Linked DNA regions of Mus musculus: region 1 is reported to be linked to region 2. Evidence: microRNA targets listed by miRTarBase, many of them from high-throughput screens and not tested one by one. Region 2 holds a microRNA gene; the other region holds the end of a gene's coding sequence.
What was found. Region 2 holds the annotated microRNA mmu-miR-301a-3p (CAGUGCAAUAGUAUUGUCAAAGC, at 1,095-1,117, shown strand). A microRNA usually pairs through its seed, bases 2 to 8, with sites in the 3' UTR of a target mRNA and lowers its output. Matches are read on the target gene's strand: a 7mer-m8 pairs with bases 2 to 8, a 7mer-A1 pairs with bases 2 to 7 and ends in A, and an 8mer does both.

Region 1 (12,811 bases), not on the chromosome of region 2:
GATGCCATGAGAGCACTCTGCCAGTAACTAAAGGACTGAAATGTCTAAGGTACTGGGTACTCATCCTTCCAAACATCTGAGTGGACTTTGCTAGCTGGGCTTGCTTACCTGTCCATTCTCAGATGGGGACCCTGTTTGGCATCTATCCGGTGAGGAATGAGAGTCGCACCGGATTTAATTAACTGTGTCCCTTTGTTTCTTCACTTCAATGAAGATGTGGTTTATTTTCAATTAGTGATCAAATCATTACCTTAATTAGAAGATTCTGTTCATTATTGAGTTTCTATTTTAATTTGACCTCTTGGAGACAGGTTCTCTCTAGCCTAGGCTAGCCTCAAATTAACACTGATCCTCCTGTCTCTACCTTCCCTGAGATGTTGAGTGTGGACCCCAACATGTGGCTTGTGTTAACGCTTTAAAGGAAAGAACACACTACATATTTACAGAGTTTTCAAACTGTGTTGATTTCAGACAAGTTTAAAGACATAGGGTAGAGAAGCATGTCTCAGAATTGGGATGTAGCAACTGTGACTGTTAAGATTTTTTTTTTAGGGCAAATCTTTGCCTCTACTTAGAGACAATAATCAAGATCTTCCCCTTGGGATGAGAGGTCAGACGTGGAGACCTTGCGCTCAGAGATTTTTCTCCCTGGGGGTGTGGGGTCTAAGGAAGTGTCTACCCATGACCTTCTAAGGTCTCAACCTAAGGTTGGTTCCACCAGAGTTCCCTGTGAGAAGCAGTGAGTTTATTGGGCTTAATTAGAGTCTGGGGAAGAGGTTGTCTTTAAGAGCTTGGGTGAGCCCAAGGCAGCCACACTGGAAAGTCTGCACACAGTCCAGGCAATGGCATTCCCAGAGCTATGTCTTTGTTGGATGCTTGGTGGAATCTGGGGTGTCAACTCACATTGTCTTGCGTCCCATCCATGTAAGCATCCAACCCCCCTGGGAGTATGTAGAGAGTAGCTAGGGCAGCCATGTCTGCAGGCACTGCACATGGAAGCTCCAGGAAGCTACACAGCCAGCTTTCACTCCCTGCTTCAACTTTCTGGATGTCTGTAGTAGAAGAAGCTACTGTCGTGTCTCCTTGTGCCTTGGCTTGTAAGTGAGGAGATACATTTGGACATATGTCCAAAATTGAAAGGAAGACATGCATTTAGCACGTGAAGGGGAAGCGCTGGTGCACACTAAATGTTAAACAGTTCAGAACCAGGCGTGTTCCTACACAGCTTCACTCCTAGCACTCAGGAAACTGAAGCAGGAGGATGGCCACAAATTTGAGGCCAGCAAGGGCTCATAGTGAGTTCCAGGTCAGGACTGACTATGGAATTAAGACCACCATCTTGAAAAATTAAAAAAATAAAAGAATAAAAGGGTGTGAGGGAGGAAAGAGAGAAAAGGAACAAGGAAAGAGAAAGAAAAAGAAGTTGGGGCCAGGATGGGTGGCTCAGTGGGTAAGGTGCTTGCTCTGTGTTGTGAGGACCCAAGTTCAGATCCCCAAGTAAAAAGCCGGCGTGAGCCGGGCAGTGGTGGCGCACACCTTTAATCCCAGCACTTGGGAGGCAGAGGCAGGTGGATTTCTGAGTTCAAGGCCAGCCTGGTCTACAAAGTGAGTTCCAGGTCAGCCAGGGCTATACAGAGAAACCCTGTCTTGAAAAACAAAATAACAAAACAAAACAAAACGCTGAGTGTGAGAGCGTGCATAAGCAACTACAGTTAGCGGGGCTTGCTGGTTCAATGGGACAGGCGCCTGTCCAAACAGTAAGATGGAGAGCAACAGAGGAGCAATAGGAGAGGACACTTGCCACCCACACTGGCCTCCACACACACCACACAAAAACTGCTGACTTGATGGCGCATGTCTATAATCTTGGTATTCAATAGAAGGCAGGAGGATTGCCATAAGTTTAGGGCTAGTCTGGGCTATATCTTGAGACATATACTGAAAAGCAAAACCAACCCACAACACAGAATCCCCTGAGTACAAAGGATACTTCTCTCCTTTAGACTACATCATCCTGGCCGTGTGGGGGATGCTGGCTGTCAGTGGAATTACACTTCAGATTCGAAGAGAAAGAGGACAGCCGCCTTTCCCTCCCCACCCCTACAAGCTATGGAAGCAAGAGAGAGAACGCAGAGTGACCAACATCCTGGACCCCAGCCATCACATCCCTCCCCTGAGAGAGAGGCTTTATGGTCGGGTTGCTCGGATCAAAGAGCTCTTCCAGAAGGAACAGCCGGCTGGAGAGAGGACACCCTTGCTTCTGTAGAAGGCTGAGGGTCAGTGTGCTTGCCCTGGAGTTCTCGTCTAGACTGCCCAGTTGTCCCAGGTCCATGCAGGGCCAGCCAGGGTGGGTGACAGGGTGACGCCCCCGTGGATGTACAGCAGTGGAGTTAGAGGATTCTAAGTGATATGGTGAGAAAAGTCTCCAAAAAGTTGGCCGTAGATGTTTTTCCTCATTTTCCACAGTCTTGAGAAGTTACCTTTTGATGATTGATGTCTTTTATAAAATACACCAAAAAATAAAAATGTCTCCTTGAAGCCCTAGTGTTTTGTTCTTGTAGCTTCTTGGACAGTTATGACTCAGTCAGAACCTGTGGAGGGGAGGCAGGCAGTGGGTATTTATTCGCTTTGTGTGTAGAAGTTTAGGGATTTGATTTGGGTCCTTGAATGTCAAGACTAAGGGAAAAGTAACCCCCCTTTTCCTTAAAAGCAGTCTGATTATATTTGGCTGCATCTTATAATAAAATCAGGAACCCTTTTCATTTATTTTCAATATTCAAACGATTTATTTTAAAAACTGGCAAATTATCCTAACACGTAACAATGTAGATTTCCTGTTGTTTTGCCAGTTAGTGCTTTAAGTGGTAAATAACTAAATTTTTTCTGTAATCTAAAATAGCTCAGTTTATTAAAGATAATAAAACTTTTATATGAGTAAGTTATTTATAGCCCATTTTGTGTTGGGGCCATTTAGAGCAGTGTTGGCTGCTGACCCTTCTTTCTTAGGTTGCATTAGACGGTGACTGGACCGTATTTTGTCAGAGAGACATCAATGAGACCTTCCTAGCACCTGTGAAGTTGTGCTAATGATTGCTCTGTATAATCAAAGCCCCTGTGCTCTGAAGCTCAGAGGGATTGATCACTTAGCCACCACCATGGGTTCTGTAAGGAGGGACATGCTCTTGACTCCTCTGAACGGCAGGGCTGAGAACTGGCTTCCCTGACGTGTGTGGCCCACAGTGCGCTGGTTTGTCAGTGGTGTGCTTCTTAGTCTCTTCACAGCAATGACTATAGCCTTGACATTTCAGGGAGTGGGTGGAGTCTTCAGTTGTGGCTTTGAAAAAAGGTTCTGAAGTTAAAACATAATGAAAAATTATAAAATGAACCCCTTTTGGTTTATTTCTGAAAATCCTATTCTGTTATTACTACCTAGCTTCAGCAATATATATATATATTTTAATTGCTATAGGGTTTCTGGCTTGTCACATGCTTGCATTTTAGTTGTACAGATTGTTGGAGAACTATTCTTTGTACTGTCGGAACACACTGCCAGTCAGAGCTAAAAAAGGCAGAGTATGCTTTCTCGGAGGGAAATACAAAATATTTGTAAATTTTCATAATTTTTAATACCATTTGTATAATTTTTGTAATAAATACCTACTTTGAAAAAAATGCTTAATGTCCTCCTTATTAGGATGTCTCCAGGAGTTTATACCAGTCTTGTATGTACTTATATAAATTTAATCTGGAAAATACAGTTGTTTTAAGAACTTCACTTAAGGATAACAGGAAGTGAAGGGAATCCAGGGTGATATGTTATGGTTTATGTAGATTTAAATGTATTTACTCATTTTTTTTCATTATTTATTGACTTTACATCCCAATATCAGCCCCCCCCTCCCACAGCTCCTTCCCCCATCCCCTATTCTTCTCCTCAGAGGAGGAGGTCCTTTGGCTATCACCCCACCCTGGAACATCAAGTCATTGCAGGACTAGGCGCAGCTCATTGAGGCCAGACAAGGCAGCCCAGCTGGGGGAATAGAATCCACAGACAGGCAAGAGTCAGGGTAAGCCTTCCCCGCTCCACTCTGCTCCATTTGTTGGAGACCAAGCTGCACATCTGCACATATGTGTGGAGGGCCTAGGTCCAGCCCATGCTTGCTCTTTTGGTGGTGAATCAGTTTCTGGGAGCCCCCAGGGTCCAGGTGTGTTGACTCTGTTGGTCTTCCTGTCGAGTTCCTATCCCCTTTGAGCCCATCAGTACCTCAACACTTCTACAAGACTCCCTGTGCTTCATGTAACCATCTAATGTTTGGCTGTGGGTCTCTGCATCTCTTTCCATTGGCTTCTGGGTGGGACCTCTCAGAGGACAGTAATGCTAGGCTCCTGTCTGCAAGCATAAACAGAGCATCATTAATTAGTGTCAGGGACTGGTGGTTCTTGCCCATGGGATGGGTCTCAAGTTGGGCCATTCCCTTAGTCTCGCTCCATCTTTGTACACATCTTGTAGGTAGGACAAGTTTTGGGCTAAAGTTTTGTGTGTGGGTTGTTGGGAGTCCTGACTGGCTATAGGAGGTAGCCAATTCAGGCTCCATATCTCCCGCCACTATGAGTCTCAGCTAGTTACCCCCATAGACTCTCTAGCAGGTCCTGGAGATGCCCTGCCACTGCTCACCACCAATTTCTGTTCTCTTGTTTGCTCTCCCTACACCTGATTCCTACCCCCACCCCCACCCCGTTGCTTCCCCCATCCCCTTACCCAGTCAGTTCCCTCCCTCCATCCACCTCCAATATCTAATCTTCCCTAATACAGAACTAAACTGATGAGGATGTGGAGAAACATTCCTCCTTTGCTGGCTGGAGTGCAAACCTTTACAACCACTCTGGGAATCAGTTTGGTGGTTTCTCAGAAAATTGGAAATAGTTCTACCAGAAGACCCAGCTATACCGCTCTTGGGCACATATCCCAAAAGATGCTCCACCATACCACAAGGACACTTGCTCAACCATGTTCATAGCAGCCTTATTTGTAATAGCTGCTAGATGTCCCTCAACTGGGGAATGGATAAAGAAAATGTGGTTCATTCACAAATGGCCCAGGGAGTAAAGGCACCTGACCTCAAATCTGGAGACCTGAAGTCAGTCCCTGCAGCTCATAAAGGTGGAAGGAGAGGACTGTTGCCACAGAATCATCTTCTGGTCTCCAGAGCATGTGCCAAGGCATGTGTGCACTGTGGCATGTGTCCCACATGCACAGACAACTATTTATATTTAAACAATTCCTGTACAATTTCAGCTGTTCGTACATACACCTTAAAAAATAACTAGGCAGGTTTCTGACCCAGAGGAAATGTACAGTAAGTTCTGGGTCGGGAATGAGGTTGTGGGAAGAGACTGACTGGCTAGTTATATTTGTGGTTACACCTTCACTCTCCTTTAAAGATAAAGGGTAAAGATGAATGTGGCCTGGCCTGAGGATGTGCTCTGTGGTAAAGACTGTGCAAGGCCCTGCCAGGTTCTAGCTCAAATGCCTTCTCCAGATAAGAATAAGAGCTATTAAATATCTAGTGATTTAAACAAGACTCACAGCACATACAGAGGTATATATGGAATGCCTACACTGTACTGTTTTGTTTTTTTTAAATCTTCAATTTGAGTATCCACACAGATGGGAAGCAAAGGAGGCTCAGCTTAAAGCAAGCACTGGGGAAACCAGGTTAAGCACATGGGCTTGCTGAAGAAATGAATGGAGCCTAGTCACCAGAATGCTGGAGTCAAAGTGGCCAAGCCTGCTGATCCAAGTCAGCCTCCACCTGAATTTCCCCAGGATCCTGAGAACTGTTTAGGCCCTAATTCTAGGCTTTGTCACAGTGCTTTTTGTATAAGTTCGAGGAATACAAGAGCAGGCCCTCATATTTGTAGAGCAAGCACTGTCTCAACTGAGCCACCTCCCAAGCCCTGTAGGTGTGTAACTTAACACTTTTATTATGTGGCCTTTGGTTTTTCTGTTGCTTTATACTACACCAAGTGTCCTGACAATGATTTCTTAGTTTTTGTTTTTGTTCTTTTTTTTTTTTTTTGGAGACATGGTTTAGCCCTGGGTGTCCTAGAATTCATTTTGTCTACTAGGCTAGCCTCAAACTCCCAGAGATCCACCTGCTTCAGCCACACAAGTGCTGGGATCAAAGGTGTGTGCCACCACTGCCTAGCCTAAGGGTGAATGTTATTATCTACTCTGCTGTGGCTTGGACTAGGGCTAGCAGGTATGTTCCTGCATAAACAGCCAGCAGGACGTGCTAACAAATTCAATGCAAGATATAAAAGAAACTAAAGTCTAAGGTGCCCTGCAAGGATGGGGAACACTTTAGAAGTTTGGGGATGAGGAGTTTGGCTTTGGGCAATTTCAGCCTGAAATGTCTCTATGGTAGTTACACACAGATTAGTGTGGAGGTTATGAGAACTCTAAGCAGGAGCTGTAAGTCTGAGAGTCTGAGAGTCCCGGGGCATTAAAATATTATGCAGGTTATAGACTGGGTGAGACCTTGGAAAAATTGAGGGGAGTCACAGCACTATACAGGAATAAGGCATGTTATGTGCACAAACACACATGCACTCACATACCCACAAATGCACTGGCACAAACAGCCCCTCCCTCTACCCGCCCCCCCCCCCCCCAAATAGGCTGAAGAGCTGAGTATGCAGCTTAGAAGAGCTCTTGTATATAAAGTTCTGGGTTTAAACCCTAGCACCACCTATCCCCTCAGCAAAGACACAAAGTATATTTAAGAAATGTGAGCTTTGTTTTTAAATTAACCCTGAGACCAGACCAGTTTTAAACACTCATCTTTATTGACAAAATAGGCTCCTCTTCAGCACACTCTCATATGTAAGCTTAAAGCTGTTTATTTTGGGGATGGGGGTGGGGTGGAAAACTTGCTAAAAACAAAGCAAATGTCTTTCAATATTCACAACCTTAAAATTATATCCAAGAAAACAAAGGATAAATAATTTTTTATAAAAATAATTACTTCTCAAATAACGTTTCACAATAGACCTGCTCAATACATCGATCTGACTCATCTCGTCTGTGCCGCTTTTCTTCTTTTTAAAATTCTGGCCTGGGACAAAACTACATGAAAGAAAGTACCATTAAATTAAGGGTTACTTTCCAAAAAACAATAGAAAAATCTTAAAAGTAAATTCACTTATATATAAAATATTAAGGCCTCTGCATGAGAACGGTTTAACATCTGGGGAACTGGCCCTTTCCTAACTGACCTATGACCCCACTCACCTCAAACTTCAGAATGAAAGGTTCTGGAGTGAAAAGTCCTTTTAATTTTGCCAATACATGAAATTACACATAAAATTACACTGCAAAGTAATATGTACTTAACAAATGATATATTGAAAAGTCTAACTTTCTGTCTGTGCTAATTTCAGTATGGACTTCAGATACAAGTATAGTGTATTTTCAGCCATATCTCATAATCTTTTATTCTTATCACTACAGAAAAGTTTAGGTTGCAGTTGGTATGAAAGCACACTTCTGTATCCTGTGGCCTTAAGAAGCTTTTTTTTTTTTTAAAGTGCAAAGCACAATCCCTTTGTGTCCACACTTCACTGCCAGTTTCTGAGTCACAGGTTGTAGGAAAAACCTCACAGGTTATAAGAACTAGATGAGGCTTAGACTCAGACTCAGAACTTTGATTTTTGGAACCTGTATCTACTTTGTAAGTGTATGAAGAGTAATTTCTTAAATAACAATAAAGGAATTCCAAATTAACTTGGAAATGACCATACCTATCTCATTACATTAAATTGTCAACTCTTGTCTATTGGTGAACTGTCTTGTATCCTTAAACATGATGAAAAGAGGAGGAAGAACCAGGTTCATTGTTAACAGAGAACCAAAACATAATCTTTCAAAGTAGTTCAACCTACTAAATGTGTCTATATATGGCTGTCTTTCTTAGAAAGTATATTCTTTGTCTTTCTTTCCTGAGATGCATACACTTAAGCAAGTCGTGAATAACTGCTAGCTAAGAGTTATGGGAATTAGGTGTAAGTATGTTCCTTCTGTTTGTGATGCAAGTGACGTATTCCTATAGTCTTTAAACATGAACTGCCTTTGATGAGGGCCGAGCAAATGGGCAGGTGAGCACCAACTCAGCAGCTTTATGTACACAAGCTATGCCAACTCTGACACTGAACAGGAAGGTAAGACTTAGAACAAAGTCTTCCATTCAGAAAACCACACCAACCTTACTTTTAAAATTGTGATAATTTAGGCTTTCCAACATTTATTAGGAGTATTCAGGGTGATCTATGTAGCATCTAAGAAGCCAACAGCACTTCTGAAACTGCAGTGCTCAGCAGCACCTTGAAGACTCGCTGTTCACTCTGTGGCTCAGCGTCTCCTTTCTGACTGTGACTGGGATCTAGTTTATGACCACTGGTTATACATTCTGCTGCCGTCTCTTTGCCAGTGTCCCTGTACATACCAGACGGAAAAGGCTGACTGAAGTTGGGCTTTATGTTCACTCATCCACTCACTTCTGGGCCCATTCTAGTGACCGCACAGAAAGCCACTCAGCTCTTCCTCAGACTCAGGTCACTGTTAGTCACTAAGGCAGATAGAGACGTACTCTCTGACGCATCATCCTTCCGAAGGTTCAAAAAGGATTCTCGAGTTATCTGAAGGATCTCTCTCAAGCCTTTATTTTCTTGCTGTAAGAAAATAAGGAAAACCCAAGATGAGAAACATGCAGAAACAGAAACTGCTGGTTTGGCTGAGTCCCTTAAGACAGCTCCAAGAGGGATACATATTTTAAAAGCCAATTTTATGAAGTGTGGCACAGAAAGCAGACTCTATAACACATAAATGGATAGATATACTATGAGTTACAGGCAGTCACAACCTCAATCTAAACAGATTTCAAAGCCTGGTGTGGTGACACCTGCCTTTAATCCCAGCAGTTGGTAGGCAAAGGCAGGGGGATCTCTATGAATCTGAGGGCTTTCTAGTTTGCATGAGGGTTCTAGGCCAGCCAGGGCTACACAGTGAGACTTGATCTAAGAAACAAAAGACAAAGCCAGATTTCAAATGGTGTTTAAGATGCAGCATCAGTACTCAGCCTCCTCACTGCTGGAAGCCTTAAGGTGTGCAGAGGCAACAGGTGACCAGGCAGAAATCAGCTTGTTCTGCACAGACTGGAGATGATATGTGTGTATATAAAATACCCATCTACACTCGCGCTAGGGATAAGTTTATATGACTAAGACTTTGAGGTAGATTTCATCACTCAATAGAAGTTAGTAGGTATGTTTCCCTCAGCAAAATTTAAGTTCAGCCAAGACCAGCTGAGGTAATTATTTTTCAGAAAGATATGTAAATGGTTAATATTGTAAGCAATTTTGTCATTTTATAATCTATTCTCTACAGCTGTTGTGGGCTTACTTTTCAAGTCTCAATGGTCTGGCCCAAGGGTTGTTTCTGAGCATAGTTCTGACTTTCTCCTTTTGCATTACCACAACGAAGTTGAGCAGATATAAACTGACTAGTTTGCAAAGTCCAAAATGCTTTCTGGTCCTTTGCTGAGAAAGCTGACCTACCCTTATTATATAAATGGGAGAGTACTATATGCTCCAAGACAGGTAGGTTTTATGGCCATCCATAGGAAATTTCCTGATCATGATTCCAAGCAAATTGATTTAAATTGTATTTTCTGGGTGTATCTGTTCTATGTGTGTATGTACATTTGAAGACAAAAAGCTGAAGCCAGGAGTCTTCCTCTGTTGCAATCTACTTTCTTTTTTGAGATAGGGTTTCTTTTTTTTTTTTTGAGACAGGGTTTCTCTGTGTAGCCCTGGCTGTCCTGGAACTCACTTTGTAGACCAGGCTGGCCTCGAACTCAGAAATCCGCCTGCCTCTGCCTCCCGAGTGCTGGGATTAAAGGCGTGCACCACCACACCCGGCTGAGATGGGGTTTCCTGTTGAACCTGGAACTTACTGTTCCAGCTAGCCATTGTACCTGACCTTTACAATGGTGTTGGATCCAGAGTCAGGTCCTCCTGCTTCATAGTTAAGCTGTTTACCCACTGGAGAGCTGAGGCTAACCTTCCTGATCCTCCTGCCTCTCCTTCCCAAGTGCTAGAATTAAAGGAGCACCACGCCTGGCATTATTTGTGCATTATAATTTTTTTATATCATTATGATCTCTAGCACAAAGAACTGAAATTTTAAAATTATGAAATTGAAGAAATTCATATATATGTGAATGAATTCATATGCATATATTTCTTCAATTTCATAATTTTAAAAACTCAGATATATATGAACACAATGCAGAATCAAAACTCAACCTTTTCTTTTCAAGACAGGGTTTCTCTGTGCAGCTCTGACTGTCCGGGAACTCGCGCTGTAGACCAGGCTGGCCTTGAACTCAGAAATCCGCCTGCTTCTCTCTCTCAAATGCTGGGATTAAAGGCGAGTGCCACTATGCCTAGTTTAACAATCAACTTTGTCAGCTACTGGTATACTTATGCATCCCTGCGGACCCCAGACTCTGACATTACTACCCAGTGGTCTATTCCACTGGCTGTTACCAGCATTCAGATTCAGAACTCATGACCACCAACTTAAAGAGTGTGGGTGTTAAGACTGGAATGTTCTCTGGTTGAATGTTTTCAGCCATACTTTCAACCCATATTTGATTTAAAGTTTAAAACTCACTTCAAGTTGAAATATCCGCTCCTGTTCCTTGCAACCCTGCTGCTCGTCAATTTCAATAGCTTTTCTCATTACTGCTGCCATCTCGGTGATTTGGTCAACATGTGCTTGCAACTCCTGGAAGAAAGGGTGGATGTGGAGATGAGAGGAAGACTTTACTAGGTTTGAGTTGTCTCTTTTGATAGAACCGCACTGCCACCTAACAAAAGTGTGATGTCCTTATGTGGCCTCTTAACATGAATCATAACAAACTGGTGGACATCAGGTGTTAAGATTAGTATTAAGGATATGTATCGCAATATAACTCAACCCCATAGCAAAATACTTATTCACATTTATCACAATGACCAGGAAGATTTCTTTTTCACATCTACATGTACTGTGGTAAAAGGGGAAAGATTAAAAACTGTTGGCACACATGCTATTTCTTCTTCCCTGAAGTCTGCGTGACTCAGTCTCCTCTGTAGTATTAATGCATATAAGCTGATTCAACTCAACCAATCCTCCTTGAGAGTAAGAAGAATATTGTTTACATCCGTCTGTTACTTATCTAGTGTTTGTTGTTTAAGAATTATTATGTAAAATGAACAAAGTGCTATGGAGTATTAAAACACAAAGTGGCATTTTTTTCCCACGTGATGAAAATAGAATTAATTTCACTATATTAGATACCCATATTATCAGTTTTACAATTTCTTTCAATCTCATTCCTTGTTTTTTACATATCTATGATGTGTCAAGCAGTAAGCCAGGCAACAGTTCCTCTCAATATACCTCCCCTAACCTTATGAGCTTTGTTCAGTAAAGGAGACAAAGGGGTTTAAAAATTGAACAGAAGCCTGAGAATAATCACCTTGCTAATATTAATACAAAAAAATAATGAAAAGTCAATGAAAAAAAATTCCAAATGAACATCAAGTCTTTTAGATAGTTGGATGGTTATAGAAAGGATTTGATCAAGACCTTAAAGAACCCACATAACTATTAAACTGCAAGAGCATCCTATCACTGAGCTACGCTCCAGTCCCACTGAATAATCTTGCATGTTTTTGGTTCTGGAGAATGAATCCAGGGCTACACCCTTAATGGAGGTTATACCTTTGTCTTAATGGAGAAATCTTTGTACATAGCACTCAGAAGACACAATAAAGAACTAATCTGCTTTGTCTAGTACAGTGCAATTAAAATAAAAACTAAGTACGTTAAAAATTAGTAATCCTGTCTCTCACTTGTACAACACTTTTAAGTGGTTAATGGTGATATGTGGATAAGTACCTTCCACATGATACACAGATACCCTCTATGGTCTACTGGACAGCCCTGGATTAGCCTGTGGTAGCAAAGCTGTTACCAAAGCAAGGAGTTACCATTGTCTGCCATACTGCAAGGTCACTAAGATGCCTGTTACAGAGGACACAGTACAGAAATTGAATAGCTGAATGATGGTAAGAAATTTTGAATACCAATGGCTTTCTCAGTTTATAATGTAGTCACAACTGTGGCACTAGCATAGGCTTAAAAGGAACATAGGAAGCCAATAATTTCTTGCCTTTAAAATGAATGAAATGAATGAAATGAAATGTTGATTTTTTAGTACTGTCTGTTTTTAGTTTTTAGTACTGTCTGTTTTAACAAGACCACCCGGAAGAAACAAAGCATACTTTGCATGAAATAGAGGCCCCGTGAACGACTTACTCACTAGCTGTGAGGGTCCCACTGCTTTTAAGGGACACAAAGCAAGAGCTATACGCTCTGAAGCCCAGGCACCAACACAGCTGTCTTGACACACTGCTCACTTCTATGTCTGTTTATTCCTACTCTGCAGCAACAAAACTTAAGACACAGGCAGAGAGCATCACTATGTACAGCTATGTCTGCACAAAAGGTTTTCCTATTTGTGAAATCAAACAAAAGGACTGCAAATAATTAAAGATCTAAATTAAAAGTTTCAAGTTTGATGGACCAGCCCTTTTATACTAATAGGCTTAAAGTTATTATAAAGAAAATACAGTTTTCTTTTTTTAGACAGGGTCTTACTGCATAACTCTGGCTAGCCTGGAACGTACTATGTAGATCAAT
Region 2 (4,000 bases):
AGATATTTTAAGAATGAAAGGTGAGGCTGGGCTAACATCATCTTCAGAATATACTGGTTCCCTGATAATCGCTTCCCATGTTATAGTAGCCTTCAATAAACTCTTGAATTAAAAAAAAAATAAGATTTTTTTAAAAAAGATTTGTTTATTTTATGTATGCGAGTATACTGTCTCTCTTCAGACACAGCAGAAGAGGGCATCGGATCCCATAACAGAGGGTTGTGAGCCACCATGTGGTTGCTGGGAATAGAACTCAGGACCTGTGGAAGAACAACCATTGCCCTTAACTTCTGAGATCTCTTTCCAGCCCCAAAGCACAAGATTTAAGTGCTGCCTAAGTGTGTTTGTGTGTGTGCACATGTGTGCATGTGAGTAAATTCTATAGAGATCAACTGGGTATATAGGTTTGAGAGAGGTATATTTCTCTTTTTCTATTGAGATTTATTTTATGAATATGAGTGTTTTGCCTGCATGTTTGTGACGGCACCACATTTGTGCCTGGTGCCTGAGGAAGTCAGAAGAGGGCATTGGATCCTGTGGAACTCTTCATGGATGATTTTGAGCCACCAAGTGTGTGCTAGGACTCGGACCCAAGAACAAATACTCTTAACCACTGAATCCTTTTCATTTGTTTTTTGAAGTAATTACTCAAAGGACTTGTTTTCTATGGTAGGTAACCCAGACGCTTTGGAAAAGGAGTTAACCAACATTACATTTAGGCAAAAAACATAGTTTTTCACATATTTGCCTTAGTAGTAATTACAGCTGATTTTGTTAATATCAATTATAAAGTTTTTATGATGCCCATGTTAGCTACTAAAGGCTCAGGACATATTACAAAATTCCTTTACATCTGTGCATGTTTATGTCTGAATGCTGCTAATTTCAGGTTAGTCAACAAAAACCAATTATCACTTTGGTCCTTTGCCCTTCCAAAAATATACTGGTATAAATGTTTTTAGGTTTTGGATGTCTTCTGACTAAAATGGCAACTCAACTTTAAGGTCTTTGCACACTGAGCCTTGCATTCCTTTCCTGCTCACTCCTGCTAACGGCTGCTCTGACTTTATTGCACTACTGTACTTTACAGCGAGCAGTGCAATAGTATTGTCAAAGCATCCGCGAGCAGGTTGCACACCTTTCCTGGTTCTTGTCTTACATCTTCAGTATTTGTGAAAAGGTTTCTATAACTTTCAGTGTGGAAAACTGTATAATTTTGTTACTATGTATATTTTTTAGAAAGTCATCATTTGAAAAAATATCATTAAATTAACATTTATCATTTCTGTATGGCACTGAAAATTCATTACTGTACGCTGTGAAGTAATGGCCTGTCTAACTGAATAGTACTTTGTAATTTGCTTCTTTTTGTAATAGACTTGAATAGGTTCTGGGAACTCTTCGGTCTTATTATATGAGTTGGTAAGTGATAGTCTCTCATGTCTATTTACTATGGTAATGGTTTACATCTTAGTGTCCATTTTAGTATTATATTAGAAATGCTTAAATTTAACACTTTGGGAGGGGACTAGAGAGATGGTCCAGCAGTTAACACTACAGAGGACCTGAGTTTCCTTCCCGGCACCCACATCTAGTAGCCACTCTCAGCCACTTGTAACTCTAGCTCCAGGCAGTTTCGTGCTGTCTTCTGGTCTCTGCAGGCACACAAATACAAACACACACACTGATACAAACACAGAATAATAAAATCCTTAAAACTTAGAAAGGCTTGATTATTGTAACTATAAAATATAAATCACTTTAAAAAAAACTTTTATTGGCTGTGAATTTCACATCATGCACCCCAGCCCTCCAATTCCACTCATTTTCCCATCCCTTAGTATCGGCTTTCTGCCCTTGCAACTTCCTCCTCAAAACAAAATAAAGATAGAATTAAAAAATCTTGTCATAGAAGCTGGAGTATGTCACATTGTGTCACACAGTATATCCTTTTGTCCATACAGAAGTCATCACTTTTTGGTAATAAGTTTAATGCACATTTTATGTAAGTAAAACTAAAAATGTAAGTGTACACTGATGAGTTTTGGCAAATGTATACATAATGTAACTCCCTCCACTACTAAGATAATAAAACATTTTCATTACATTTCATTTCAAAAGTCTCTGTGTCTGTCTGCAGTCTCCTTCCAAACAGTGCTTTTGTGAACTCTGACTGGGCCAGCACAGTATTTGTTCTTTTAGTTTTGCATTCTTGTACTTACTGTAAGTGCTTTTGCCATCTTGCCTTTGTTGCATGTGTTGATAATTGATTCATTTTTATTGTTGAGTATATTCCATTGTATAAAGTCTGACAAAGTGTTTCTTGGGTTGTTTCCAGGCTTTGCCTGTTATGAATAAATTTGTTGGAAGCATTGTCTTTACGTGGCCATAATTTCTTATTTCTTTTGTGTAAATACTGGGAAATGGGACTATTAGGAGAAGTTGCTAAAATCAACTGGGTGGCGGCATAGCCTTTAATCCCATCACTTGGGAGGTGGGCCGGGGGTGGTGGTGAATCTCTGAGTTTGAGACCTAGTCTGCAGAGTGAGTTTCAGGAACGCATGGCTTGAAAAATCACACCAACACACAAAAGGCAAAAACAGTTTGATAAAATCTTTTCCATAGTCCTCTTAGTGATATTGAATATTTTTCATGTGCTTATTTGCAACTGATATATGTTTTTTAATGTCTTAAAGTCTTCCTGTCCATGCATGGTACATGGTATACGTACATACGTGCATACACAAACTGCAGACACATGCGCACATTTTTTTTTCTCAATCTAATGTCACTAATTTTTTTTTCTTGGAGATTTGTGGTTTGGGGGCTGGAGTGATGGCTCTGGGGTCAAAGACCTTCTTGTTTTCCAGAGGACTGGAGTTTGCTTCTCGGCTCAGCACCCAGGTTGGGCAGTTTAGTTTGTGATTCCAACTTGAGAGGATTGTACACTCTCTTGTGGCCTCTGTGGGTTCCTTTACACACATGGCAAGGCAAACATAGACACACAAACAAACAAATTTAAAAGAAAAATTTTTGGTAAAGTATTTAATATCTTTATGTGTATGTGTGTGCTTGCTTGAGACTGTCCTTCACATGTGTGCAGGAGCTTGTGGAAGCCAGAAGAGGGTACTGGATCTTCTGAAACTCAGAGTTGGTTTTGAGCAATCATGTGGATGCTGAGAATGGAACAAACCTAGATGCTCTGCAAGACTAAGAGCTCTCTTAACCACTGAATTCTCTCTCCAACCCCCAAATGAAAGCTTAACACGATTTAACACAGCCCTGTATAAAACAGCTAATGCATGTGTGTGGTGGTGCACATGCCCCTGGCACATGTAGAGGCCTAAAGTTCACCAGGTAGGTTCTCAGATGGATGTAGCTTGGTGAGGCATACCAGAGGCCCTGGGACTGGATCCTACCTCTGCCTGATAGTGAAGGTGGCCTCTCTAATTCCAGCCACTCCAGAGGGGTAAACCGGAGGATTAGGATTTCAAACTTATTTTCTGCTGTAGCCAGCCCTAGGTCTACCTGGTTTACATTAAACCCTGTCACAGAACAACCAAAGCAAGCTTAAGTCTTTCCTTTCACCATGTGGATCTTGGGTTTGAACTCGGGTCATCAGGCATGCCTGCAGGCAACATTACCTGCTGATTCATGTTGCCATCCAGCATAGTCAGCCTTAGGTTTTGATAGAGTAGAATGGATAGTGTTTGCTTTATAAGCTTGTTTGGTTTTGTTCATTTTTTTTCACCCAGGAGTCAGGGTTTTTCCCTGTAGCCCTGGCTGTCCTGAACTCGGCCTCAAACTCACGGAGAGTTGTCAAACTTTGCCTCCCATGTGCTGGGATCAGAGGGGTGAGCCAGCGCTGCCTGGCTTGTACATACTTCTGTTTTTGGAGACAGGGTTACTTTTTGTAGCCTTGGCTGTTCTGGAACTTGCTCTGAAGACCAAGATGGCCTCAAATGTAAAGAGATCCCCTTGTCTCTGCCTCCCAAATGCT

Region 1: miRTarBase lists Fgfr1op2 as a target of mmu-miR-301a-3p. Seed matches in the 3' UTR shown: 7mer-m8 at 7,589-7,595.

What each region holds. Positions count from the first base shown.
Region 1 is chr6:146,593,214-146,606,024 of GRCm38, reverse strand. It overlaps Fgfr1op2 (FGFR1 oncogene partner 2), which reads right to left. Exons shown (of 7, transcript NM_026218.2): 6 at 10,736-10,849; 7 at 6,827-8,730. The coding sequence ends at 8,593. Tm7sf3 (transmembrane 7 superfamily member 3) reads left to right here. Exons shown (of 12, transcript NM_026281.2): 12 at 2,004-3,749. The coding sequence ends at 2,266. Among named protein-coding and RNA genes, the nearest start is that of Fgfr1op2, 22 kb to the right of the region's middle.
Region 2 is chr11:87,111,960-87,115,959 of GRCm38, forward strand. Mir301 (microRNA 301) reads left to right here and starts at 1,045; the gene lies at 1,045-1,130. The region is part of intron 1 of Ska2 (spindle and kinetochore associated complex subunit 2); the gene reads left to right.